Mytilus edulis: one gene and its partners. The protein of the gene in region 4 purifies or fractionates together with the protein of the main gene of each other region. This does not show direct contact. Links are inferred from orthologs where the notes say so. Each region holds a gene or a part of one and is shown on either strand. Other genes may lie near its edges.

Evidence for each region.
Region 1: the proteins of small ribosomal subunit protein RACK1 (region 4) and la-related protein 4-like purify together in Homo sapiens (affinity purification with mass spectrometry; 3 studies listed by BioGRID and IntAct, counting the BioPlex papers as one, with this or other methods). This does not show direct contact. The link is inferred for Mytilus edulis from reciprocal best matches to the Homo sapiens genes RACK1 and LARP4.
Region 2: the proteins of small ribosomal subunit protein RACK1 (region 4) and vigilin-like purify together in Homo sapiens (affinity purification with mass spectrometry; 3 studies listed by BioGRID and IntAct, with this or other methods). This does not show direct contact. The link is inferred for Mytilus edulis from reciprocal best matches to the Homo sapiens genes RACK1 and HDLBP.
Region 3: the proteins of small ribosomal subunit protein RACK1 (region 4) and serine/threonine-protein kinase RIO3-like purify together in Homo sapiens (affinity purification with mass spectrometry; 3 studies listed by BioGRID and IntAct, counting the BioPlex papers as one, with this or other methods). This does not show direct contact. The link is inferred for Mytilus edulis from reciprocal best matches to the Homo sapiens genes RACK1 and RIOK3.

The regions. Positions count from the first base shown.
Region 1 is NC_092357.1:54,891,904-54,899,730, reverse strand, and holds the start of la-related protein 4-like, read right to left. Parts: upstream 3,003-7,827; 5' UTR 2,865-3,002; coding exon 2,850-2,864; intron 1-2,849. UniProt on the Homo sapiens protein: RNA binding protein that binds to the poly-A tract of mRNA molecules. Associates with the 40S ribosomal subunit and with polysomes. Plays a role in the regulation of mRNA translation.
Region 2 is NC_092356.1:71,817,809-71,825,279, forward strand, and holds the start of vigilin-like, read right to left. Parts: upstream 3,014-7,471; 5' UTR 2,933-3,013; intron 2,849-2,932; 5' UTR 2,774-2,848; intron 851-2,773; 5' UTR 796-850; coding exon 592-795; intron 177-591; coding exon 77-176; intron 1-76. UniProt on the Homo sapiens protein: Appears to play a role in cell sterol metabolism. It may function to protect cells from over-accumulation of cholesterol.
Region 3 is NC_092355.1:39,763,127-39,770,098, forward strand, and holds the start of serine/threonine-protein kinase RIO3-like, read right to left. Parts: upstream 3,003-6,972; 5' UTR 2,785-3,002; coding exon 2,543-2,784; intron 2,067-2,542; coding exon 1,906-2,066; intron 1,491-1,905; coding exon 1,386-1,490; intron 557-1,385; coding exon 444-556; intron 1-443. Other genes in the region: peptidyl-prolyl cis-trans isomerase FKBP7-like, read left to right, coding at 5,567-5,580, 6,705-6,868.
Region 4 is NC_092352.1:55,731,906-55,739,886, forward strand, and holds the start of small ribosomal subunit protein RACK1, read right to left. Parts: upstream 3,016-7,981; 5' UTR 2,897-3,015; coding exon 2,788-2,896; intron 1-2,787. Other genes in the region: serine/threonine-protein phosphatase 2A catalytic subunit beta isoform, read left to right, coding at 3,368-3,478, 5,320-5,529, 6,212-6,385, 7,083-7,172, 7,758-7,919. UniProt on the Homo sapiens protein: Scaffolding protein involved in the recruitment, assembly and/or regulation of a variety of signaling molecules. Interacts with a wide variety of proteins and plays a role in many cellular processes.

The DNA of each region.
Region 1 (7,827 bases), on a different chromosome or scaffold from region 4:
TGTTTTAAATACATTAACTTTTATTTAAGTGGATAATTACTCATCAATTGAGGTGCTCCTGAATTGGAGGAAGATTCTCAAAACAGAATTTTTACAGAAAAAATTAATAAAATCGTTTCTCTCCCCTATCTCATGTAACCCCACGATCTTTGTTTACTTTGAAAGTTGTTCACCTTCAAATTAAAGGATTGCATGTTGATGTTTGAATCATCAACAGCAGACATTATTATGTTTAAATTTAACAAATACCAATTTGTAGTTAGTGCACGATCTCTGAGAATGATTTAAATAACCAGTGAAGGATATCCCTGCTTCTGCGTAGAGTGGCATTCCAAGAATGACGTCACTATAAAATACAATGTAGGTTGGATATATTTAGAATAATTCGTCATACTGATTTTTCCGGATTGTAAAAAGAAACGTAAATAGTGTAAAGGAGAGCTCAAGATACGATAATTTCGTGAGAAACAGAAGGGAAATGTGTAAAAAAGTGTTTAAAGTCAAACTATTCATTTCTGGGTCTCCTTCTCTTCAATCTAAGAAAGATTTGTTGGGGGGTTTCCCATACTATAAAAACAAAATGAATGATGTGAGGGAATGTCACTCTGGTCAACCCCATAGGGGATTGACGGCTTGAAGCCGTCTTTCCCCAAAAACCCTGGCCCATTGTGAGTGGGTTTTTTTTGGCCGTGTATATTTCTAAGAAAATTTGACCCTTAATTTTTCTTGTGATTCAACTGATCTTTGCAATTGTGCTTCTTATTTTATAAAGACTGTTACAAAGTCATGAGGGGTATCTTTTTAGCCAAGTTGTTGAATTAACTGTTCACAATATAGATTACATGTGCTTTTTACTTAAACATACTCAAACAAATGCTTTCTTTAACCCTTCAGTCTGTATCAAAATCTTTTCCAACCACTAGTCTAAAGACAAATATTTAGATATTTTCCTTGTGTGTCTACAGTCTAAACAAAGTCTTGAAAATAAAATGTTACTAGTCATGGGCATTGGACTAGAGGCTAACGGGTCAGGCTGACCCTTCTTATGTTGAAGAAAGCTGTAAGACCTATCAGTGCTACATGAACATCATTTGGTCTCTGGTGGAGAGTTGTCTCATTGATAATCATACCACATCTTCTTATATATATATTTGAAAATACTTCTGCACATTGCCTGAAAGTTCGCTCTCTCCACTATTCCATTTCTTGAAAATAAAAGCAATTCTAATTTATGAAGGTTAAGGTTTAGAGCTTTGTATCAAGGGTCAAAATGCCAAAAAGGATCAACAACAAAAATTTTCATCAAAAAGTTAAAGGCCAAAGTATCAATAAGCTGCTGATATCAAAGGACAAGTGTACACTTGTGTTATAAATACACTATAAAAAACTTCTCAAGTGTGCATTTCAAAATAAAATATTTATAACTTTCAATGTCAATGAATGTAGTGCTTGCAATCAAATAATTTGGATTTTTTTTCTCCATAAGGTGAAAGTACAAAAAAAGTATAAACATCTGAGACACCAAATACATCCATTAGCTATAGCTTTAATAAATTGGGAATGTGTCTGTGGGACACAGATAATGCCCCCTGTTGCATATAATGTTATAAAGGAACATAACTCAAAATCTGTTAAAGTGGCGCTAACCAAATTTGCACTTACATGTAATCTGAGTTTAGTGGAAATAAGCAATTTGTGTATGTTTCATAACACTAATTTGAGGCAAACTAAAGTTTTCCATTTGTAAAGTGGCATTACTCCAGAGTGGTAAAAGTGACACTACCAAAATTCCAATTTGATCTGTGTTTTGTGGTAATTAGCATTGTGTACAAGTTTCATATTATTTGGTTATGGCAAAAATTAAGTTGGAGAATTGAAATCAATTTTGGGACGTACGGACAGACGTACAGACAGACTTAATGTCTCCTCTGCTATGGTGCGGGCATAAAACACCAAAACACCAAAGAATCACAAAATGTTAACCAAATGCATTGATAGTCACTTCAGACATATCTATAAAAACATCAACATTTTTTTTTAAATAAGTTATTTGCCAACATTAACGATTTTTGATTCATCACTTCCCTTTTTGTTTGACCCAAAACTTATCTAGTCATCATGTGGTTGCTAATGAAACTTAGATACCCTTCAAAAGATGCAAAAACAGCTAATTATCAGGTGCTGCATATGAATATTGTAAAATATCAGCTGTTCGACACAATACGAAGGGCTTTTTGATCTTGTTCACTGAACTCACTAGACAAAAAGCTTCATAATCTGACTCACATCTGATATTTTTTCAATATCAACATGCAGACAACCTGATAATCGGTACATACATGTTGATCCAGGATTGTCTACAAAAATGTATGTATGATCCATTTCATATTAGCAGCTCAATAACAAAAGGGGCATAGGCACCCTATCCACCCTAATTCCATCTCTGCTTTTGAATAATTGTTTAATGATGTAAAATTCACCAATTTACATAGGTTTTACCAGTGTAATTAATTCACAAAAAGGAAATAGAAATTAATATATAATAGTACAGTGCTTCTAGGAATTTGAAGGCCCCTTATATCATTTACTGCAACATCTTTCCAACCCCTATTTTATTACTTCCAGATGTTTTCAGAGTTAATTTAATCACAAAATATAACTGTATAATGATTATCAATGTCCAATTAATGATATGATTTACAAAATTGACAGAAAACTTTGTCTGTTTACGGTTTGTTTTGATATCCTCAAAGCTTGGTGATCTAAATGCATAATTAATTAGATGATATTGTTTTGGTCATAAATGTGTATTTGCATTGGAAGCTTTAACATCAATATGTGAAATTTACCTGAACAACAACCATTTTGCGAAATATATTGTCCAAAAATACGTTAAAATGTATCAAAATTCTAAATTTCCATGGAGGCCGCCATTTTGTCTGACGACATACGAATTTCCGCTTTCCATATGAAAAGCATGCTTGCGGATGTTTCGTGTATTTTCATCAATAAAACAACTCAGTGTCAAAATCCCAGGTCAAAGTTCAAAGCAGTTACCACTAGGAATTGTCTTTGAGAAGTGACAACTGCTCACTTACACACCAACACGAAAACAAAATCGAATGAAATTGCGAAAGATGACCTCGATACAGGCGGGTCAAAACCCGTTCATTTCCTCGTTAATCATTTAACCAAAATTATCGACATGTGCAGGTTATGTGCTTCGAATGTAGTGAATACTCTACATCGTATTAATAACAATTATTTGTGCAAAGTTTAGTAAAATATCAGTGAAGTAAATACACACGTGACACGAGGTGTATTACCTCAAAAGACATGGCGTCTTATACACATACTGGCCTATCACGCTTAAAAATATTGAAACTTACTGTTGTCCCTTAACCCTCCAGTTTAAATTTGAAATTACACAAATGTATTCCCTTTAATCTACAAGCCGTATTGGGTGACTACACGAAAACCTAAGGGTTTAGGGAGTCTTGGGGCGAAATACGGCAAGATCTTCACAAGGTTGCAGAACGATCTATCGCCACAGTAGTCACATGGGCCGCATATATCCAACATGGCAACCGCGATGTGGGACGTGTTGATTTTTTTTATTTATTAATTGAAAATAGACATTTTGAGATAAAATTATTCTACATTTAATTTTAAAATTGGTACAGTGGATCAACAAGGATAAACAAGATGCTCAATAAGAACTTGGTGATCGTCCAAGTTATTTTTGATTTGGCGGGAGAGGGGCGGTTCTATCATGACGCAGTGCAGTAAGGAGGCCATGGACGGGTTTACTTTGTAATTAAACTACACTTAATATTAAATGATAAATATATGCAATGATGAAATATATTTTAGAATTTAATTGGTAAATTTTTTATAAATTTTATTTGTGAAAATACATTAGTCGTATCCGAGACAAATTTTCTATAATTTATTTTAAACATTTTTCTGGTCCGAAAAACATGAAATTTTCGAAGAAATATTGTTACAATATGAATTTTGATTACAAAGATAGCAAATTATCAATTCTGTTTGTCTCTTCGGATTTATAAATTCTTTGCAAGGTGATAAATGTGTATTCTTTTAATTTCGGTAATCTAATCCTAATCGGTTACCTTTGGTTGCCTCTAAATCATTTCATTCCCTGTTCCTTTTATGGATTGCCATTAAGAAGGAAACATAATCGAGTTATCTCTCTTTAGACCTTAATATTGCGAATGTAAACGACAAAGTCTTGTACAAATTTTTAAAATGACTTGATCCGTCCCAGAAATGAATATATAATGTTTCTTGTATTTATAACTTTTTATTCACTCCGCTAGTTAAAAACGGTATTTTTGGGTGCATTCGCCCTGTCCACTGACAATGATAACAGGTGCGCGCTCGATCCTTATATAAAAAATGTAAATTTATTGATAAAACTTTGGTCGAAATATGGACATCTAATTATGACTCGGATGCACGAGGAGCGCGGTACCCTTACATCAAATATGGGTACCATTCTTGGTATTTTAAAGAACATCTTTGGGGATTTGGAATTACAAATCTTCTTATTTGTGTATGATATAGATAATTTATGAAATTGGGAGAAGGCTGAAAGTTCAGATCCTATAAGTTAGATATTAGTTTTAAGAACGTCGGACTCATGTGTAAGCATTCTCAGAAAGGAGATCGTTCACTTTAGGTCAATTACGGTCTTAAAATTCAACTTTTATCATAAAATATCAAATGGTCATGATTTGGTTCTTTTGGTCGGGATATAATTCAAAAGCATTAATACAGGGTTCATTTTTTTATATAAATTAGGCCGTTAGTTTCAGTCTCGTTTGAATTGTTTTACATTGTCTTATCGGGGCCTTTTATGGCTGACTATGCGGTATGGGCTTTGCTCATTGTTCAAGGCCGTACGGTGACCTATAGTTGTTAATGTCTGTGTCATTTTGGTCTCTTGTGGACAGTTGTCTCATTGGCAATCATACCACATCTTCTTTTTTTATATTGAACAACGCTCTCTATAAGAATGTATTGTAGGCTTCAAAATCACCACATTGATTTTGAATATTTTGTCAAATTACGATGATTGTGCGAGTATTCGGAGCTTGAATCCGGAAGAAACCATCGACCACAGCATATATGTAGGAACCAAAATGTTCTGTAGCCAAACGGTTGTCCGAATAGTGATATTGATTCCCTAGACACCTAAAATTTCTGGATCTTATGTGGTGGTCAAAGTTGATTATGCTAAAAACTTAAGAATTATTTAAATTTGACAAAAACTGACGTTACAATACAAATAATTGGAATTTTAAGGAGTGATTACATCGTCATTAACTTGTGAAGTGCTAAAAAGAAGTTCTTGTTTAAATAGTAATAATATCTGTCACAACTATGTCTATGTGAGATGCATGTGTAGTAGTTTAGCCTTACTAAAAAACAATGTTAAACCTTTGTGAACTTACTTCTCTTAGGCCATTGGAGAAAAAGCATAATGAGAACTTTAAATTATATTTTGATGGAATGAAATTGAGTGTGGAAATGAAATCACACTTCGCTGTGTGACGACTGACAGGGGCGTAGCTAGAAAGAAACGATGTGGAAGCAACTACCAAGAAAAAATTTTGGGACCCTATGCAGAAATTATTTTTTTTTTCGGTTAAAAATTTATGAATGTAAAACTATTAATAAATCTTCTGAATATAGTAATACATAAACAACACATATTTGTGATACAGAATTTACTCAAAATTGTCCAAAATCTGCTCTTCGGGTCTGGGCAGAAACAAACTTCTCTATTACTTTGTCAACATTCACACTGAAATCCCGTGAATATGCAGTAATGCTATGTAACTTTCGTTGTTCATTGTTGATCGTACATTTGTTTTCAATTACATACGTAGCACCGTGACTGATAGTTCTCAGGGCCATCATGGCATGGTAGCACTCGCGAGATGTTATAAACCAGCGTACGTGTTCGGCATCGAGCGACCTCCCAATTGAATTCGTCAAAATTACATGCTAGGTCAGTTTCGTATGTTTCAGACAATATTGAGATTTGTTCGTTTGTGATATTTCCTACAACACGATGAAGCAGATACAGCACAAAGAAGCGATTTTCTGATAACTTAACGCGACTCCACTCTCCAGTTGCCTTATCATATGTTCTATGAACGCAAAAAATAATGAGACTTTCCAATACTGTTTTGGCGTGGTTGCAGGGTGATTGGCTCCGGTAGTCTGTCAACCACATCGCCTCGGCATATTTTCAACGATATCGAAGGGATCTGATAATTCTAATGCCGATTGGTACATCTCATTCCAAACTGATGAACTGTACACTGTAAAATGTGCTCCAAAACTACAAATCTAAGACTGAGTATTACAAATTCAAAAGTAAAAATCTTGTAAAAGATACAAGTAACCTTCCGATTTTGTCATAATCTCCAAAAAAATTTATTTTGAAACCAAATGTCGTTATTTAATGATATTTCATCAATTAAAAAAAGTGACAACATAGGTGTTTCCTTTAACATTCAATTTATAAATTTTTATTTTGCCATTTCTTTTTTTTGCATGCCGAATCAATGTGCACGCAACTTCGGAGCTACGATCTTTTTCTGAATGAACAGCTTCATCAACACTTGTAACTAGGTTGTCAAACTAATATCCGGGATAGACGGAAAAGACACCAACAGTCTCCGATTCCGATTGACCAACTAATCTCTCTTCTGCTTTTTTTTTCTTTCTTTTTGTGAAAATGACGTGGATGCACGTGCTGTCGTGCCTCCGGGTAGCTACGCCCCTGACTGATTATCACCTAAAATTTATACTCATTTTTTGTTACACTCAATAAAGCGTCAAGACAAATAAATGTAAAAAAACTTATGTTGGAACATTTTATCAAAATTAGAAAGATTATCCTACTAGTATTTGATTTGATATAGTTACTCACTTATATCTGATGGGAATACTGTACTAGTAGGACTATTTTTATTTCAATTGCCAGTGGCGAATTCAAAAGGGGGGGTTCCAGGGACGATCAATGCATTTGAATGGGGATATATATATGGTTGGAACCTCCCCTTTATCATGGATTCGCCCCTGCTTACTCACTGTGTAATGTTTTTTTTTTTTTTTTTTTAACAATTATGCCCCAATTAACTTAATTCCAAAAGCTATACCAAGACGTCAATTTGAAAACCACAAGTAAAGTTAGAGACTATATACTGGCGAAAGACGAAAGGACAAACGAAATGGGAAAAAATACAATTTACACAGAAAACTAATGATCACTAAAGATTTGCGAAAATGAATCTCCCTTCAGCAAGATTTGAACCCACGCTTCTGTGACACTATATGTCCCGCGCCCAAGACTACTCGACCAACTAACTAAATATGGTGACATATAGATGCCTATTTCTACATAGTTAGGTGTGTGATGGGCAGTTGTTTTCTTGGCAACCATAACCCATCTCCAAATTGTTTCTATATTCGTTATACTTTCTGTTTGGCTAGGTTTATTTTTCTTAAAATGTCCCGTACCAATTAAGTCAGGAATATGGCAGTTGTTATTAAATAGTTCGTTTTTATATATGTTGGCGTTTGTTTTTGTTGCACTGCAGGGTAATTGTTGTTCCTTTGTTTCCTCTTATATAGTTGATGTGTTACCATCGGTTTAAGTTTGCAACCCAAATTTGTTTTCACTCAACCGATTTATGACTTTTGAACAGCGGCATATTACTGTAGCCTTCTTTTCTTGTTTGACTTCATTTAAAGGGCTTTCACACTGATATGACATCCTCGGAAATCAAA
Region 2 (7,471 bases), on a different chromosome or scaffold from region 4:
AATTGTTAGCAGAGGCCAGGATTATAAAAATATAAATACTAAACAACAACAAATATAAGCATGATAAAAAGCTTACTGTTTCTAGCCATTATTTCTTTGCATGTTTCTGCTTGCTTTGTTTCATCACCAAAACTGTGATCATTAAACCTTCTCTCTTCTACAGGCACAGCAAAAACCTACAATGAAATTTACATAATATATATTAACTTGCAAATGATAATCAGAAATGGATCTTAATTTAAAACTTTAATGTTTTGTGAATGTTGATTATTGTAACCAAGATGTCAGAAAATTGACAAAGGACAGTTTGACATTTGATTCATCTGACCAACACTTTTCCAAAGATTTTAAAACAATATCTCGCAAAATGTAAAATGAAAACCAATTGGGAGCACAAGTGTAAACAATTAATTAAAAAACCATATTGAACCTTGCAAGGGAACGAGCTTGTGAGCATGTTACTAGGTGACAGCAGACTATGAAATGGTTGTATTGTAGACATTAAATGATTGATTCTTAGGAATGTCATTTAAAATGTATTTTACTACACAATAACTTAATTTGTATTAATGAATCATAACCAACACATACTTGTGTGCATGTAGATGATCTCATGAGAAATTTGTTATTGGCTGGCCAAGGTCTAGTAGGTTCTGTCACTGGCGCATCAGTAGCTGGTCTGGGTGCTGGCACTGGCAACTCTGGGAAGGCGTCACTGTATGTTGGTGGACTTGTTGGTGCATTGGGCACATATGCCACTTCTTCAATATGTGGAACCTCCATATTTGTAGCCATATTCAAACTCGTTTGTCAAATGGGAGTTCCAAGTCGAACAGTACTAGCTGAATGCCTAAAAGATTGATATATAAAAGATACTTTTTTTTTTGCACTGCACATATAATTTAACGAAAAACCAACATTTTGAAATGATAACTGATGAAGTCATAGCTTAAACCAGGTTTCACACTTCTTCAGAATCATAGGGAGAAGTTTCTATCTTCTGGGTTTTTTTAAATGATAGGAAGAAGTGGCAAGATTTAATATTATTTATTTATTAATTTGTTTTAATGATTGATTACAGATGTATATGTCCTTTTTATAGCATTAAACTAGTATGTTTTAAATGAATCCATTTTATAGAAATTGCCTGTTTATATTAAGTAAGTGCCCTTAAATTGTTGTCCATCGCGCTTAATGTGCCCTCTGAGCTAACAATTACCCTGCCCTTTTTAAAAGCTGCAGGAAACACTAAATAAAGGAAGCGCTTGTTTTCTAGTGACCCTATTGTACAATGTATTTATTTATTTTTTTAAATATGAAGACCAAATACATTTTTTTTTTATGTTGTTCAAATTTTTCATTACACTCAAAAATGCAACCAAAAAGTAAAATCACAAAAATACTGAACTTAGAGGAAAATCTACAATGTAATTGGAAAGTCCATTATCACATGGCAAAATCAAATAACAAAACACATCAAAAACAAATGGACAAGAACTGTCATATTCCTGACTTGGTACAGGCATATTCAAATGTAGAAAATGGTGGATTAAACCTGGTTTTATAGCGCTAACCCTCTCACTTTGATGACAGTCTCATCAAATTCCATTATATTTACATGGATGTGTGAACTAAGCAGACATTATAAATAAAATAGTCAAAATATGGGTACAGCAGTCATCATCGTGTAGCAACTTTTAAAAGGAACAATTCAACAGAACACAAAAACATCTATCTACAAACGCATTCATTGATTCGCGTGTCTGACGTCAGAAACTTTTTAAACGTCACATATATTTGTCGTTCACTATACATACAAACAGAAACAGAACAATGTAACAGTTGTCTCAGTTTATCACTCATTTAAACATGTATGTAAATGAAGTTAGAAATTATATTTTTTTTCACTTGTGAGAAACTGCCAACTTAATATCTTTCAATATCAACAATGATTAAAGAAATGTGTTTGTAAATCAAAAAGGAAAAAAATACAATTTCTCAAAAAAAATTGAAAGAAAAATGACATTGTTTATTACTCTAAAAAGATATGTAAATTAAACAGCTTAAATTAATAAAATGAAACAAGCCATTTACAATTTTTGAAATGAGATACAACTTAACGTCTGTTAAAGTGATAGGGATCATTACATTTCTGTCAGCTGATCCATTTGTGCATTTGTAGTTGTCAAAAGAAAAATTTACATTTTGAAATGTTTTATAGCCTATAGGAATTAAACAGGACTTTTCTCAATACCGCAAAAATTAAAATTGCATTCTAGTCTAAAATTACAACAATAAATGCACACAATAATTTCTGATTTTACAGTACAAATTTATGAGTCTTTGAGTGTTATGAATCATTTACAGGGTAAATGAACAAATATGAGCCTCTATATTTAGACATTAACATGTAAATAACTATCCACTTGCTGGTATTTGTAATTGAAAACTGATGGTAAGGGATAATAAGTATTACCGTATTATCAAAGAATTTGCTAAACAAACAACAATTCTGTCAACGATGGAATATGTCTGTTGAGGGCAAGGCAAGGGTGAGTAAATAGTACACAACAGGTCAAATGTGCATAAATTATGTCAGCGTGCAATATTGCACATTACTACAATAAGCATACATCAGGCATTCAGAATTATGTAAATTAAACAAATTTTATCAAGGAAAACAGACAAAATGTCAAAAATTAGGCAGCCACGTCGACAGGTCCGAAGGAACATGTTGACGTGTCGGGGGTCTGGCCATTATTTACTAACTTACTTAAGTACTGCGTCCAAAAATCCGTCCTAAATTGGTTTTTTCTTCTTTTTAGGCTCCAATGTGGAAGCTGAAAGTCTACAAAAGATTTAATGTTGTGTATATTTTGATAAACAAATGATAAATTTGACAGAAATTTGACAAATATGGACTAACACTCACCACCTCCAAAAGGAACTAACTACACTGTGTAGTTCGTGCACCTTGATATCATTGCGCGATTGATTGTTTTGAGTAAGCAATATTCTGATTGGTCATCTCCGGGTTAAAGTTGAAAAAAAGAACCATTGTAACACCACATAACATGTGTAGGCGAATACGCACTATTTTGGAACAAATTTTTTTCTTAGCTTAAACAATTGTTCAACATTATAAGCCAAAATGCACATGCAAACATCATACAATCTTTTCTTGAAATCCAAATCGCAATAAACTATGATATTATCTATTATTTCAATGTCACGTGGCAAACCTGTGACGCTTTTCTTGACGTCAAAAGGTCACATAATTAACACTGGGCTCCAAGGGGTTGCCAGTAAGTTGTAAATAAGGCTCAAAAAGGAGGGGCGCCGCATTGAAGATCCCAAATTTCCATAAAGATGAAAAATATCAGAAGATAATATCACACATGATTATAATGTCCAAAGGTGATGGATTATCTTTTGACTGAAAAGTAAATATAAACCGAATTTTATAACGATCTATAAAAGACGAACCTTCAGTGACAAAGACAAAAGAGACCCCCCCCCAAAAAAAAAATAAATAAAAATTAAAAAATAAAATAGATAAGAATATAAACAACAAAAAAGAATAGGAAATACGATCATGATGATCGGGCCAAAATAGAAAAAATAAAAGGCAAACTTGAACAATAAAGAGGGCCTGGAATATGATGCGGGTTCATTTGGGAGGGGGGATAGGACCTTTATCGGGTGTTTTTAATCTCGGGATTTCGGGATTGACCCTTTCGGGATCCGGGAATCGTTTTTTTCGGATTTCGGGACATCGGGATTTACTTTATTTAAATTCGGGACCTCGGGAATTCGTTTTTTTAAGTCCGGGATTTCGGGATCAGGACCCCTCCTAACCCCTCTCATTTGGGTTTCTTGGCCCAGGAGGATTTTCAATTAATCTCATGGTTTTATGTGCTCTTTATTATTATTTTTGTCGTTTATTCTCTTTTCATTACTTTCCGGCTATTTTTTGGTTCCATATTTTGTTTATTGATTTTTTTATAAGTTAAGCTAACATAAGAGAAGACAGTTTTTATTTCAATCTCAAAAAGGTCCCTATTTTTAGGCCAATCCGAGAAATCAGTTTATACTTTTATTAATTGATGTGTATACAACCATGATAATAACATGCTTGCTCCAAACAGTAGATTTTCCATTGTTGACCAATGTTTTATCGAATTTGGTTCATAATTATATAAAATATGTTTCATTATTCATACCAAAGACATATAAATTTTATTATGCAAATGTGTAGATATGTGTCCGTTCTCACTCAAAAAACGACAAATTTGCGATTTAAAAACGCATTTATCATTTCTCTACAGCATGAATATAGAGTATTGCCCCGGGGTTTGTTATTTGAATGGATACATTGAAACGGTATCGATATCTATCTATACTAGATCGAAACAATTATCACTGTGTGTTCATGCTAGGCGAGAAAATACATCGGGAATAAAGTCAAAACTAAGATTGTTCGAGCGCTGTATAGTATAGTGACTCAATATGTTTAGCATGTATATATAGTGCGATGAACGAGCTTTTTACTGTTTAGATTTGCTTGCTATTATTGCTTATTTCTTACACAAGCATGTATTACTCAATTTTAAAGAGTATATGAGAAACAATTAACAGACACGACTTCGCTTCACTTTTAGACTAACCGGCGGTTTTTTTCTAAAGTTAACATTGATTGGTTAAATATTTCGCAGTCATGTCCTGCGTTTGAATTTGTTTGTTAGCTTTTTGGTCATGAATGTTTGTCTCTAATATTTAATTAACTGTGCATTTGTATTCAGATATCACAGATCAAATTTATTCGTTCATTGTTTAATCATACGTTTTTTGATTGAGTTAAGTCTGCCAATTGATATTTTATCGTATGTTTTTCTTTGTTGTGATGTTATGCTATTGTTTCAGAAAAAGGGAGAAGGTTTGGATCCATTAAAACGTTTAATCCCGCTGCAAATGTTTGCACCTGTCCTAAGTCAGGAATCTGATGTACAGTAGTTGTCGTTTGTTTATGTAATATATACGTGTTTCTCGTTTCTCGTTTTGTTTATATAGATTGGACCGTTGGTTTTCCCGTTTGAATGGTTTTACACTAGTAATTTTGGGGCCCTTTATAGCTTGTTGTTCGGTGTGAGCCAAAGCTCCGTGTTGAAGGCCGTACTTTAACCTATAATGGTTTACTTTTTAAATTGTTATTTGTATGGAGAGTTGTCTCATTGGCACTCACACCACATCTTCCTATATCTATTTTTATACATTAAATTTGACATAAGCGGTCATCTTAGTACCAGAATCTATGACAATTTCAGATTTGAATTATCAGTTTTCTCTACCTTGGTGATAATATACCAACTTCACATGCATAAGGAATATACATTTCCCATCTCACTCATAATAATATACCAACTTCACATGCATAAGGAATATACATTTCCCATCTCACTCATAATAATATACCAACTTCACATGCATATGGAATATACATTTCCATCTCACTCATAATAATATACCAACTTCACATGCATATGGAATATACATTTCCCATCTCACTCGTAATAATATACCAACTTCACATGCATATGGAATATACATTTCCAATCTCACTCATAATAATATACCAACTTCACATGCATATGGAATATACATTTCCCATCTCACTCATAATAATATACCAACTTCACATGCATATGGAATATACATTTCCCATCTCACTCATAATAATATACCAACTTCACATGCATATGGAATATACATTTCCCATCTCACTCATAATAATATACCAACTTCACATGCATATGGAATATACATTTCCCATCTCACTCATTATTCAAGAGCTTGCAATGCTACGTAGACTACCAGTGTCTGAGTAGAAAGTTAATGTGCCAGGGTTATGTCAAAAAAGTCGCACGAGACGTCCTAGTTCTAAAAAACTTAATAGGAATATTAAACCAAGACCTATAGTAATTATGAACAGTTCGTATACATCAACTTTACATGATGGTCTTTGATATAGATATAGGAAGATCAGTAGTATGAGTGCCAATGGGACAACTCTCCATCAAAGTCACAATTTATAAAAGTAAACCATTAGAGGTCAAGGTACGGTCTTCAACACGGAGTCTAGGCTCACGCCGAACAGCAAGGTATAAAGGGCCCCAAAAAATTACTAGTGTAAAACCATTCAAACGGGAAAACCAACGGTCTTTTCTATATATATATAAACGAGAAACGAGAAACACTTATGAACCACATAAAAAGACGACAACCACTGAACATCAGATTCCTGACTTATGACATGCAGGTGCAAAACATTGCAGCGGGATTAAACGTTTAAATGGTACCAAACCTTCTCCCTTTTCTGAAACAGTAGTATAACATCACAATATAGAAAGACACACTAAAAAATATCAATGGAATGCCTTAACTCAATCAAAAAAACGAAGTCACGGACACAAATAAACACACAATGGACGAATAAATTTGAGTATAGATTCTAGGTATACTGAAGTTGTTTATCATCTACATTATATGTTATAGGTGTTTTTTTTTATTTGCCTTTGAAAATTATTAACCTTAATTGTTTACTATATATATGTGTGCTGATATGTCCTATTGGTGTGACTCGTACTAATGCATCCCGCCAATACGTGTTGTGCTGTGGTCATTTTTGTGTCTTTCATTTTTGCTTATGTGCATTGTCTATATGCCATTTTGTTTTTTTCATATTGAAAAATTCTTTACTTTTATCCGAGACTTCTATAACACATGTGCAGTTTTGGATACAAAAGGGGGGGGGGGGGTGTTCCTGGGGTTGGAACCCTTTTTTTTGGACGATCAATACATTTGAATGGGGACATATGGTTGGAACCCCCCTTCATCATGGGTTGGTACCGCCTGTTAAATGGTTGGATTCGACCCTTCAGGTGTGTGTTATAGTTGTCTCATGTTTTTAAAGTGATTAAGATATATATATAGAAGCACGATGTTGACTGTACGCCTATTTTGACATTTTAACATAATATGTATGTGTGTTTTGTTCACACTTTATTGTCAATATAATGAATTTTTCTGCGACTGTCATCCAAGTAAGAGGTTTAGCTAGCTATAAAACCAGGTTTAAAAAAATGCCTGTACCAAGTCGGGACTAATTCAGAATTTGTATTCATGCCTATAAAAGCTTCCGGTCAAATAGAGCGGGTTGTCCCATCAAGTGTTCGACTTCGACCATTCAGGATACTTTTAACAATCGTAAAACCAGAACTTTTTTTTTTTATTTCTTAGCCTAAATTTTCATTATTTTAAAGAAAAATATCGATCTATTGAACAGTGGAAGTACGAGAAGACTCATCCAACCGGTTAACGATTTTTCCTAATGATTTTAATGCTAAATTGAAATCATTTAAAGCGGGAAGGTTGGGTGTACAGCGGTATTTTTTTTCTCCAAAATTCGAGAAAC
Region 3 (6,972 bases), on a different chromosome or scaffold from region 4:
GGAGTCAGTGAAAAAAACTATGTGAATTTAGTTTTTTATCCTACATTGAACTTTTGATGTGGTCCCTAAAGTAATCATTAAACACTTTTTTCTCAACACTTAGACCAAAGATTATTGTATCATTATTCTAGTTCATGTATTGAAGTAAATACCCCTTCCAACAATGAATATCAATAATTTTAATCCCAACATACCAGTTTATATTAAAATACCAGGGGAGCTAAATATAAACCATTGGTGTGACATGGACATACATGAATCAGCAAATCAATATAAAGACAACTGCTTTGTAAAATGGGCAAATTATCAGATGAAAAAATAAATCATTCTTTTAATGTATTTAAGGTTTTGATTTTGCCATATGATCAGGGACTTTCTGTTTTGAATTTTCCTTGAAGTTCAGTATTTTTGTTATTTAAAAAAAAGAAAATATTGAAACTTACATCCATTAGTTTAGAAGCATTTTTTCGTCCACATATAACTTTATCGTGTTTTGTTATGATTTTATTTCCACTGCCAACTGTTCCATTCTTTTTAAATGATGGCGATTTCTTATCTGAAAAATACATAAAATTGAGAATGGAAATGGGGAATGTGTCAAAGAGACAACGACCCGATCATAGAAAAAACAACAGCAGAAGGTCACCAACAGGTCTTCAATGTAACTAGAAATTCCCGCACCTAGAGGCGTCCTTGCATGGTTAAAAAAATAATAGTTGTGAACTGGAAACAAATAAAATAGTTCTTGGGATGATATTGTCCAAAAAATATTATCCTAGGTATCATACTCCATAATCATTTATTAATTCCACTTATAAATGTTATATTTTATTTGTAATATGTTAACATGTATGTGTGAATTAAGAAAAGTTAGAGCTTATAATTACCACTTTCACATTTCCTTGAAATATGTTTTTGACCAAGTAATTGTTGATCAAGATTGATATTTAATTTTCTGGGGGCAAATATTTTCCAGGAAAATCACAAGTTAATGCCACATGAAAACATTCTGCCTTTTATTTGACTGATAGGCCAAGTCAAATTTCAAGCTACTTTTCAAACAGCTTCTGTTAAGTTTGAAATAAGTAACCTTCCATATTCAGATCCTGGTTGGAACACTGAATAAACAGCTCATTGATGTGTAACCATGGTAACAGTATCTGACTATGAGAAGTATTTTGTTTTGAAGCAGCATAATATGTCCAACAGAACTTAACCAAATTTTAGTACAATACATTGTACCATTTAGAATATTGCACTATTGGAAACATATGTTTCAAGCAAATTTTCTAGCTTTTCCTACTTTAGCTGGCCTGTTTAGCTTGTTTTGAATAAATGAGAAAGTCAATCTTAAATCATGGTGGAGTCATCTCCCATTGGCATACCCCATTGTGATTTTGGTGGTTCGTAATCATCATCCTCTTCTTCTTTATCTTCATCATCTCTGTATGCTGGATGTACACTTCTGTAGTTCTCAAATGAGATAGAAACTAAAAATAGAAGATTAAATATGATTTCAGTTAAATTATCTAAGCAGAATTAATAACAAATTATAGGATTTTAAAACAAACATTTGGTCTCTGGTTGAGTAGATTGTTGAGAGTTGTCTTAATGGCCATGTAGGCAATCATACAGTTCATACCACATCTTCTTATTTTTATATAACAAAATAAATCAAAAGCATTGAATATATATTTGAACATCTTTATTAAAAGACTAAGAACTATCGCAGTATGTATGCTTTGTCAGGACTACGAAAAAGTATATTTTCTGCTAAAATATGAGAAAAAATGATTCAGTGAAAAACTCACTCTTGCTATAAAGTTTAGTGATTCAAGGGGATTGAAAGTAATTGAAGGAGAAAGGACTCAAAGGCTAAATGATGAATACATGTAGTTTTCAAACCTTTATGATGTTTATTCAAGAGTTTTTCCTTTGCTACCAATTCCTCATCATTCTGTTTATCGTATTCCAACTGTAACATCCTAGCCATAAGTTCATCGTCAGCAGTTTCATCAGCACCAGCGGCAGCAATTAATGCATCAACATCAACTTCATTTTTCTCACTGAAATTAAAATGATAAGAAATGCAGCTACATGGAATTAAAAATAGACGTCAAGAGTTCAACATACATGCAAAGATTCCATAACTACAATTTAAATATATACATAATATTCTACTGAACACTTTTTTTTCTAATCATGCTTGGGGTATTGAAATTTTATTATTTACTTTATGTCATGAAAGTGGTTCACATTTTTTAAAACAATCATTTAATTAACTGTTAAACATATAATAGTTGTTTCAACTTGAAAATTGTATGGGTTTTTGATATTTTTATTTTACATCCTCATTTGATCATCCGTAGTTGTCCATCTTTGAAAGGCCAAGGGGTAATGGTAAAAAATCAAAAATACCCTTCTAGATGTCATTCATGTACAAAATGATGTAGTTATTCAAAAATAATTAATTTTTAGATAATAAGCAATGATAAGACTTGAAATAGATTAACACCCCCCTTTTTTTAACTTTAGTATATACCTTTCAAAAGTGTCCAACACATTTTTCTGTTCTTTTTCGATAAAATCTTCACTCAACTGTTCATTCATTACATCTTGCAGGCAGCTTGGTATTGGAGTTGATTGCTGCGGAGGTTTGCCCCAGGGTGATGGTTTTGGTACACTGTCAATTTTCGTCTGGTTCATCAAGGCTGCCTGTTCTTCCATGGTCTTGTGAATGGTATTGCTATGTCTGCAACTGAAAACACTAACAGGTCCTTCCATGAAGTTTTTATTTTTTGTATAAGCTATTTCTATATTAGACGAAATGATTATTTGTGTAACTTCCAATGACTGAATGAGTCTGAGATTCTTTCCTTTGTACTGTTGTATTTCCAGTATGTTTTATCGGTTTAACTGGTGTTGCAACACTGCACGTCTGAGCTAGATCTTATATGTTTTAGCTGTTTATTAATAGCAAAATTAAACAACTAATTTATAAATAGATAAATTTCTATATGTTGTGAAATACTTACATAAAATTTCCTTCTTTTTGTTTTTAATTGGTTATTCCCCTTTACGAACTTCCGTTTTGAAACCATAGGTGCGTTTGGATATCCAACTATAATATTTTATGGCAGTAGTTATTTGACCGGCTGCGGGGAAAAAATAATGGCTCCGACAAAATAGCGATTTTTTGTAAGAGTTTTAGAAGTCTCTGAAAATAAGTCTTATTATAAATAAAATTCTGCAAAGAGTAAATATAAAAAGTGATATCTCTATTTCTAATATATAGGCCTACCACTTTGCCGTGTTTAGTATGACTAGAAATTTTCACTTCTGTTTCTCGTACTATAAACAACATCATTATTTATATAGTTAAATATATGTCCGTTCTCTATTTCACATGATACTGTATACCTTACAACAAAACTTTTTTTCTTTTACCTAGGTACATTATTCTATTTGGCGGGAAGCAATTCGGTTATTTGTTCAAGGTTCACTTTCTGATATTAATTATTATCTCACAGTGGTATACTACTGTTGTCTGTATTTATTCACCCTTATTTTATTGATATGGTATTAACATTGTGTCGTAGATCAAATTTATTTGTTCAGTGTATTTTTTTGGATTAGAGCGTCACTGATGAGTCTTTTGTAGACGAAACGCGCGTATGGCGTATATACAAAATTTAGTCCTGGTATCTTTGATGAGTTTATTTTCAGACTGTAGTGGGGAATTTAATAGTAAAGAGTTTGGGCATCTAAAGATTATAATATAAGACATATTACAACAAGCCCATATCATCCCAAAAGCATGCAATGGTTAAGTTGAAAACTTTAATGGGACTCTTAAAACAATCATAAATAAATTGTTTGACAAAGAACCTGAGAAATGGGATTTATTCATAAATGAAGCATTATTTGCCTACAGAGTTGGTATTCATGACAGCACTAAAGTGAGCCCCTTTGAAGCAATGTATGCGAGAAAGCCCATCTTAATAAATGAAAAGAGAATACGGCATACTGTTCAGCCGAATGAAATACAAAATTACATATAAATGTGGCTATAGTGAGAGATAGGGCGGATATCAGTTATCACTGCCCCTAAAAAAGGAATATTGTAAGCATCTGCATAAATATCAACATAAAAAGGATGGTGTGGTATGATTGCCAATACAACAACTATTTAAATGACGTGGATGATTGGAACTATAGACCCCCGTACGACCTTCAACAATGACCAAGCTTCACAACGTATAGTCATCTATGTAAGGCTTTATCATGACGCAATGTGCAAAATTCTAACGAGAAAATTAACGACTGGATTTATATGACATAATAAGTAACGAAAGAAACATAATGTATATATGACAGACAACAACCCACGACAAACGTTGACTCACAGTTTCCTGACTATATAGATTTTGGCGGGTTTAGATAGCCGTGTTTTCAAAATAATAAAAGTGTTTGATTATCGAAGAGACTACTGCTCCATCAACGACTTATGGTCTAATAAAGTTAAATTTGGATATAACACGTCTTTTGATTGTTTGAAAGTTTCAAAATTGTATATCAGCTCATAAACATAGTTTTGGCATGTGACCGTTACGCCATTAACTTTTACCACGGTTTACTCTTTAAAAATCGAAATACATTTAGATTATAAGGAATGGAAGTACTTCCCCCTGTCCATTCGAAATAATCTAATAGATTCTATAATAAAAATAGACTAGCGTGCACACTTTTAAATATAAAGCAACTTGGGTTATTTAGTATACACTAAATTTTTCACGTTATTTCTTCATTGACAAAAACATTTTTACATTACATGCTATTCCTTAATTACAATAGAAATTATAGGATCTCAAAGGAAAACAGTCGGACTTTCATTCCAAAAATTATTCCATTCGGATTAGAGAACTTCGGTGAATCAGGAAGAATGTTACAGGTACCTATGTTTAAGGTTTAATAAATACCAACATTAAACAGCGTATATCTTAAAAATTTTCTACCCTGGGCAAGTTGTATTACATGACCAATCTATATGTATAGTTTATTTACTAGATATTACCGGTCGTTGATTTATTATGATAGAAGTGTTTACGTATGATTTTAAACTATGAGATCCGATATCACATAGAATATTTTTTAGATTTTGTTTATAAAACGTACAAATTTGATATATTTTTTAATTTAAGAAAAAATAGACTTTGAGTATTATTATCAGTATGTATTTATCAACATTGAAATTCAATTAAATTTAAGTAAGAGACGAACATTGCAATACCATACCCACATAGTACCCCTTTCTACAGATTTAAGAAATACACACTAACGTGTAAATCAAAACTAAATTATGGGGAAAGTTTGCATTCATATTTTGATAATTTTAATATGTTTGGTAAATGAACTCAAATGCGAATTTAACGCAACCAAAGCTGGAACAGACATAGAACCAGCTGTTATAATTGAAACGGTAACCAGAGCGCCGTTTTGTGACAAAAATCTTCTTTATAATGACACTGGAATCTTCGATATCGATGTTTTTTACCATACTGAGGATATGTTTGTAAAAAGGTTAGTGTGTTATTTCTTTGAATAGATCTTTAGTCTTAATTCTAACAATTGAATTAAAGAATTGTAGTTTCGACGAAGTCTCATCAACACGCAGTTGTTTTCCTGTAGACTGAACTATATGTACGTGAAATTTAGACTCCAAATTAAGTTTGGGACAATCCTTGACTATCGCGGGAACAGCAATTAGAAATGATCTCTGACTATCGCAGGAAGCAACATTCAGAAATGATCCTTGACTATCGCGGAAACAGCAATCAGTTATTCTTTACTATCGAATAAACAGAAATCATTGACTATCGCAGGCACAGCAATCATCATTCCTTTGACTATCACGGGAACAGCAATCATTAATCATTGACTATCAATGGAACAGCAATCAGCAATCATTGACTATCACAGACACAGCAATCAGCAATACTTTACTATCACTCGAACAGCAATACTTAACTACCACGGAAACATCAATCAGCAATCCTTGACTATCACGGGAACATCAATCAGCAGTCATTGACTATCGCGGGAACAGCAATCAGCAATCATTTAGCGGGAAATTTAATGTTGGTGTTTTGATAAAATACAACATTGTGCTCTCTATTCACACTATTTATCATTGTTTAGATATTAACTTTTAATGAAGGTCATAACAGTATTATTATACTAAGTTTAATACAATTAAGGTACATGTGTTATGTTCTTACATGATGGCATAGAGAGGGTCCTTCATTTCTGTTTTTTCATATTTTAATTTTGTGTAGGTCATTTTTCACTATTATTTATATCTACCCCCCCCCCCCCCCCATAATTCTCTATTCTTTTTTTTTATTCTTTTTATTTGTGGTCTATTTTTCTCTATTCTTTATTTGTTTTACTCTTTATGACCTAAAAGAGGGGCGAAAGATACCAGAGGAACAGTCAAACTCATAGATCGAAAATAAACTGACAACGCCATTGCTAAAAACATGAAAAAAGAAAAAGACAAATAGACACAAAATAGTACACAAGACACGACATAGAAAACTAAAGACTAAGCAAAACGATCCGACCCAAAATACTGGGGGTGATCGGTGCTCCGGAAGATTAAATTAGTGACACAATACATTATCGAATGTGACTTTCTATTCTAGTCAAGCAGGTAAAGAAAAGGATCCAAGGACTATTCGTCTAGGTAAAAATCAAATACTCAAAGCATTAGAGAACGCTATGATTGGGATGTGCCCTGGAGAGTACCGGAAAATAACTGTACCCGCTAACCACGCCTTCGGCAATAAAGTGATTCAGATTCCCGATGGTCAGTAAATTATAAAAGGATTATTTTTCTTCTTCTATATATACATGTAATTGATTACCTTGGCGATTAAGGGAAAGTCAACCTTTTAACTTCAAGGGATGATG
Region 4 (7,981 bases):
AGTGTTTCCGGTAACCCGACCGACCCTGTTTTTTAGCCCCGACCCTAACTTTTTTATTGGATCTTCCAAAAAAAAAAAAAAAAATTTATCAACCGACCCTGTTTTTGACACAGGCTTCTGATAGATGACATAATATTTTTTCTCTCTTGCTTCCTCTTGCATAGAAAGCCAGTCATAGAAAGCCAGTAAAACATTTTATTAATGTCAAAAGGTATTCCAAATAGGTTAAAATCCAAGAAATTTGCACAGCAGGTGCTTCAAAAACATTGCAAATGGCACACTTCCGGTTTTTGAAACTAATTACGGATCCGAACTTGGAAAAAAACATGATAATTTTCCGGATTTCATTTACGATGTCAAAAAAAAAAAAAAAAAGAAAAAAAAAAAGAATTCCGACCTACCTACCCTATTTTTTAAAATGATGTTACCGGAAACACATATCTTTTTTTTTTGGCCTTAGTGGACCGTGAAATTGGAATAAATTCTCTAATTTGGCATTAAAATTAGAATGATCTAATCAAAGGGAACATGTATACTAAGTTTCAAGTTGATTGTGGACTTCTACTTTATCAAAAACTACCTTGACCAAAAACTTTAACCTGAAATTTGCACTATCATTTTCTATGTTCAGTGAACCATAAAATTGGGGTCAAAACTATAATTTGGCATTTAAATTAGAAAGATCATATCATAGGGCACATGTATACTAAGTTTCAAGTTGATTGGACTTCAACTATTGGACTTCAACTTCATCAAAAACTACCTTGACCAAAAACTTTAACGATTGGACTTCAACTTCATCAAAAACTACCTTGACCAAAAACTTTAACCTGAAATTTGCACTATCATTTTCTATGTTCAGTGAACCGTAAAATTGGGGCCAAAACTATAATTGGGCATTTAAATTAGAAAGATCATATCATAGGGCACATGTATACTAAGTTTCAAGTTGATTGGACTTCAACTTCATCAAAAACTACCTTGACCAAAAACTTTAACCTGAAGCGGGACAGACGGACGAACGAACGAACAGACAGACGAACGGACGCACAGATCAGAAAACATAATGCCCCTCTACTATCGTAGGTGGGGCATAAAAAATAATCAGACATACTGACCTAATTAATTATAAACTAATTTCAATACTTTTCCTTTTTATTACAAAATTGTTTATATTGACACTTTATACCTGTAGTGCAGTCTTCACCATTAGTCAAAATAATTATGATGTCTTGAAATATATTTTATTTTTTGCTTTGTAGCCTTTCTGGCATGGGATGTCATATATGCCCAACTTATTTTTTTTAGTAAGACTTTTAAAAACGTTTTACTGATTTCTTCTATATAGACACTTTGAAATTCATTTTAGGAGTATAAAATAATATATTTGTTTTCCAAACTCTAAATTTTGATGGACATGAATTTAAATATAAATCAAACATCCCGAAAAGATTGTGCGTCATATATTATTCTGAGTTTGGTGCAAATAAATATTTTATAGTACTCTTCTAATTATATACATAGGGAAATTAGCTTACGGCGCAGTCCGGTGTATCCATGCACCTAAGACTTATGACTTCATTTCATTCAACTGATAAAACCAATAAATGGATAATATTGGGTGAACACATTCATAACATACTTTTATTTTATAAAATCTTCTGTTTGTATGGTTTCACCCAAGATTTTGTGTAATGCGTGTCCAAAATTAGGGAAACCCCTGTTCTGAGATTTCCTCCAATGTCTGGGGATTTCGCACATGCCTTCCAAAAATATGTTATTTTGAATAAAGGAAAGACTTTCTACTCCAAAATATAGCTGAATTTGAACCAAACACACTTCCAAGGATGCAGAGCAAAAATTATTTCAAACTAATAAAATTTTGACTTAAATAAAACAAATTTTATCTGATGATGTAATTTTTTTTAATGGAAATTAGTCAAATATTGTAAATCACGGGTTTGCAGTTATTAACCTCTTGAACTTATAATTTTTTTTTTAATCCCTTCTGAAGGCTAAAACAATAACAAGAACGATTTTATTTGTGTTACTTTGTTGATATGACGAAATCAGATAATGCACAGTATCACTGGCCATGCAGACACCACTGTAGAAGCGTTTTATTGTTAACTTGGGTCTAAAGTTTGAGAGAAATTCCATCACACAGTCTTACCAAAAAACATGTCTTCAATAAATAAAATTTCAAGACGTCACAATTATTAGGACTATATTTGCACCAGAGTAGTACATGTTTGCAAAACATTGTTACGACACATACATTTTTTTCTAATATTCTTGAACTAGTGATAAATAACGATTTTGGTGCAGACAGCTGGTATATTTACATGTTCTGTATGAATTGATCATATGTCACAGATTCCGTTCTAGGGAACAATTGTACATCTACATTATACTATGATCCATCAGCCCATTGATGAATATACCATACTGTCATGACTGTACATGTTCATGCTCAGTCCCTGTATTTTCGAATGTTCCACTTGAGAAAAAGCGCCTACGAACTTTACTTAAATGCAGATTGCAATCAGAAATGATATTCTCTCCAAACTGCGGCTTTTAATTCGATCTTCTGCCAATAGGTCTACCGGCATTTCAACATTGAAGATGAAAAATGTACATGTAAACAAATTTACACAGTATGACAAAAAAGACAACGTTGCAATAAAAAGATAGAGTATGTGCATCGTCTTGAAGATCGAATACATTGATAATATGTGCAAAACATGCAGGTTATACAAAAAATGAGATCTATTCAGAATATTTTACCCCGAGAAGATGACAACACCATATCAGGATATTGGGGAGTTGTGGCAATCTGTGTCACCCATCCTCCATGCCCTTGGAGGGTCCCTCTAAGCGTCATTTGCTCCGCCATCGTTTTCTTGTTTTTAATGAAAATTCAACTATGATTGGCGCAGATTCGATATAACTTATTTAGTTCGCCATGAACTAAGACGGGCAAACCGGAAAAGGAAGTCTGTAGTTAACTCGCTTGGTTTAGAAAAATTCCGATAGATGTCACCAAACGGAATAAGGACACCAGCAGAGTGACTCAGAATCCAGTTTATATTTGCATTAAAATTTTGAATCATTTAAGATAAATAATGATTAACATCACGATTAGTTCTTAATTTAGTAATTCGTCATTTTTATTTATCTTATATAAATAAAAATTTTCATTCGTTAACAATTATTTATGAAAGTGACGTCACTCGAGAAGGAAGACACAGCCATTTTGTCGGCGCCTCGATGTGCTGAGACTTGAAAATAACACCAAATAAGAGATAAATAACGCATTTTTGTATACATTTGTCAAGTTTAATACATGTAAACATATCTTTTCAAAATGAGTTACGTTGACGATCATGCAACAGCAAAAGAACTCGATACATGGATTGAACAACTTTATGATTGCAAACAACTGACCGAAAATCAAGTCAAAACATTGTGTGAAAAGGTATATACACTTTCATCAACTGTTTTCCCTTTAAAAATACTTACAGACATAGTGACTTTAATGTCATAACTGCATAAAGCATGTGTCGGCCTATAAATGACTGTATAACTGTTGCATCAAACTCGCATGGCAACACATTTTTACGAAACCAATTTTTCGTAAAATTGTATATGGCAACCAAAGTTTTCTTTGCTCAGGTGTACTGATATCGTATCTAATCACATTTCATAAAACAGCCTAGCACAGTTAAAAGGTTTTCAAAGGTTTCAATCCAGCATCCTGAATGTGTTTTAGTCAACATGCCACAAACCATTTATTGATAACTCTGGTAGCACAAGAAGTATACCTCAAGTCTTGTTAAATACACTATTTGACTTACACAAGTTACAGTAAGATGGACCAATTGAACTAAAATGTTGTGTTCATCACATTAAATGAAATTCAAGGATATTTTTACATGTTTTATCCCCAGCTTTGAGAATGAATCATTGGTATTATAGATGTAACTAATTGTAAATACCTCAAGCAGTGTATTTGATTAAAGAAACTTAAACACAAACACTAACCTCCTTTCCCCAATTTAAAATCTAAGTTTTCAGTTTTTAAATCAAACGCACAAGAATTTCATTTAAAGATATGTCAAAAGGGCAGCGAAGGATGTTCTAGGTTGTTGACATCTGAAAACATAATCCTGCTGCAGGCTTCAAAGATAAAAGTTGATGGAGCATTTATGTAGCACTGATCAGGCTTATTAACTCTTCTTATAAGGTAGTGTTCAGTTGTGTGTTGTCACACACAGAAAATGTTCATTCTAGCTTTGGATAACTTTTAAGCTTGGAAATTATGCCAAATAGCATGAATAGTAAAGAAGATGTAGTAATGAAAATATTTTCAGAAGTATTATTCTTGACAGCTATATATGTTCTTTTTTATGCCCCACCTACGATAGTAGAGGGGCATTATTTTTTCTGGTCTGTGCGTCCTTCCGTCTGTTCGTCCGTCTGTCCCATTTCAGGTTAAAGTTTTTGGTCAAGGTAGTTTTTGAAGAAGCTAAAGTGTAATCAACTTGAAACTTTGTACACATGTTCCTTATGATATGATCTTTCTTATTTAAAAAAAAAAAATTAATCTTTTGACTCCATTTTCATGGTCCACTGAACATAGAAATTAAAAGTGTGAGTTTCAGGTTAAAGTTTTTGGTCAAGGTAGTTTTCAATGAAATTAAAGTCCAATCAACTTGAAACTTAGTACACATGTTCCCTTTTGGTTGATCAATTTACTTCTAAGGCCAAATTAGATTTTTTACCCGATTTCACGGTCCATTGAACATAGAAAATGATAATGCGAGTGGGGCATTCGTGTACTTTGGACACATTCTTGTTTGCAACCAAAAATCATCAATAAATGTTGTGTAAAACCATGTTAAAACATATATCAGAAACAACTTCAGCAAATGGCAGCTAACAGAAAATATATAATACATGTAGTTAATTGTAATTTGATCTCTTGCATAAGTCCCTGTTTTAAGCAGGTGACAGTTAATATACATACACTATTTTATTTTGTTTGGTCTTATAATTGAACTGATGAGCTATATCATGTATATACAACACCTCAGTTTTGTAGGACTTGTATTTATTCTCCTAATGTATGATTAATTGTTTGATTATGATATTCACTGTTCAGTTCTTATTTTCTGGCTATTGACATGCATTTATATTAAATGCTGGGACTTCTTTAACCTGAAACAAATGAGGCTTATAATGTGAATTTTAAATAAAAATGCATTTTGAGGCACTCTTTAATTTATTTAATACTAATAAACAATTAATTTTTTTCAGGCTAAAGAAATATTGTCCAAGGAATCAAATGTTCAGGAAGTTAAATGTCCAGTTACTGTGTGCGGGGATGTCCATGGCCAGTTCCATGACTTGATGGAATTGTTCAGAATTGGTGGAAAATCACCAGACACTAACTACTTGTTCATGGGAGACTATGTAGACAGAGGATATTACTCAGTAGAAACAGTAACACTTTTAGTAGCTTTGAAAGTATGTATAGTACATTTATTTACACATTTTGTCTTTGTTAAGGCCATAAAAAAGAATAGATTTGTTTGCCCAAACGCTACCTACCCAGAAAAAAGTTGCCTACTCAAATTCTTTTATTGTCCTAATTTGAAGAAGTTTTTTTTTTTATCAGATAGGCATAAAGACTAATAAACACCCGATACTTCAATTTCTCTTTTTGAAAAAAAAAAAGAAAATGCCTACCTACCTACCCACTGTCTCAACCTTTGGGTAGGGTTTGGGCAAACCAAAATATTTTTAATTGTGGCCTAAACAAAACTACATTTTGGCTAATGTTAAAAGCAACAATTAAAAAGTGCAGCTTGATTCAAAATGAACAGTTGGAAAATATTTATTTGATTATCTTTCATTCATAAAACTTGCATCCTCTATGATTTAAAAAGCAATGTCTACTCCATGTGCTTTGCAATTTATGAGACTTTCACTAAAAATTATCCAATTAATCCTTACTGATAGCCAGTATACATGGTATAGTTAATTGTAGAAATTAAATAAAGTGACAGGTTCACATTTATCAAGTTTCTATGATTTAAGTCAAGAAGTAGTAATTTGAATATAAAGAGTAAAGAAAGTATTCAAACTACACAACTAACACATATTTTTGCCTCATTTTTTTTAAACATGAGATATGATTTTGTTAAAGGTTCGATGGAAAGACAGAATTACAATTCTAAGAGGAAATCATGAAAGTAGACAAATTACACAAGTATATGGCTTTTACGATGAGTGCTTGAGAAAGTATGGTAACGCTACAGTATGGAAATATTTCACAGATTTATTTGACTATTTACCACTTACAGCTTTAGTAGATGGACAAGTAAGTTTAGAGCCTTCCACTTCTTGTGTAGAAATACATGTAGTATACATGTACTGTAAATTCAGAAAGTATTGCGATTTTGTTATTTTAGACCAAAATGTGATTTACATTTTTGTGATATTGAGCAATTCTGTGTAATTCCTATAAAAAAATTAAGAATGCAAGTTAAAATTATTGACATTATAACCCAGGTCCCTGTCACATTTTTGGCAAAAATAAAAACATTGGAATGATTTCTGAATTTACAGTACAGTCTACAATAATTCTGTAAAATGGCAAAGTGTATGTGATTGCGGAAAAGTTTCAATTGTTTGAAAAACATATTTTTGTATTAAATGAGATTCATTGCAACAGTAGATCAATTATCATATGAATAAAAAGAATATGGGAGTAGACATGAATAAGACAGCAACCCAATGGTTACAAAACAAGACATCCAGAGGTCATTATGTTTAAACAATAGATATGCATGTAGGTGATGCAGAATAGATATGCAAGTAGGTGATGCAGATACAGAATCGAGTTCAGATATGTTTTGTTGGAAAATTGATTAGTAGGAATTTGACTTTGTTAGTGAATCTATAATTTTTAATAGTTCAATTTGACAGTTCTTAAAAAAAGGATGGAAAATGGAAAAAATACTTTGAAATAAGTACCTATTGACAAGAAGATAATACTGAATACTTTTATCTTTCAGATATTCTGTTTACATGGTGGGTTATCACCTTCAATAGACACATTAGATCATATACGAGCATTAGATAGATTACAAGAAGTTCCACACGAGGTAAGCATGCTTGATACATTTAAACTTGTATCTTATTTTATTTTGCCATATCACAGATTGATTAGAATATAAAGTGCCATGTCCAATGTAACTAGATTAATATGTAATTAGATTGGCAATTCCTTATTAAGAATATAAAATACATTCCTCCAAGTCTTGTATTAAAATTCATTGTATGTCTGATAATGTAAAAAAAAATAATGGCTTGTTTACAGTATACATGTACCATGGAATCCAATTTAAAAGCCAATGTTCTTTCTAATTAGAAATACTCCTTCTGAATAGGACCATCATTCCAGTATTTTTCCCATTGCTGAACCCATTAGCTTAAAGATCTCAACAAATTTCAAAAATACATTTTACACAGAAAATGTCTTTGATAAGTGGACTCTTGTAAACCATGATAAACAGGAAACCAGTCTACTCTGAAACTCTTGTATCAGATTATAATTATTGAACTAATTAATACTTATAAGAGGATTTTTTACAGGCAAAATTCACTGTACATAGCTACTTAACATCATGTAGGGGTTAGGTTTTAAAGATTTGTAATAACAATATGACATTTTTCCAATGTATTTATAGGGTCCCATGTGTGATTTGCTATGGTCAGATCCAGATGATAGAGGAGGCTGGGGTATATCTCCTCGAGGTGCTGGTTACACATTTGGTCATGATATATCGGAGACATTTAATCATAGTAACAATTTAACTCTGGTATCCAGAGCACATCAGCTTGTCATGGAGGTAAGTAGAATAGATAATGAAAGAATATTTACCTTGATTTTCCAGTGAAATAAAACACACAA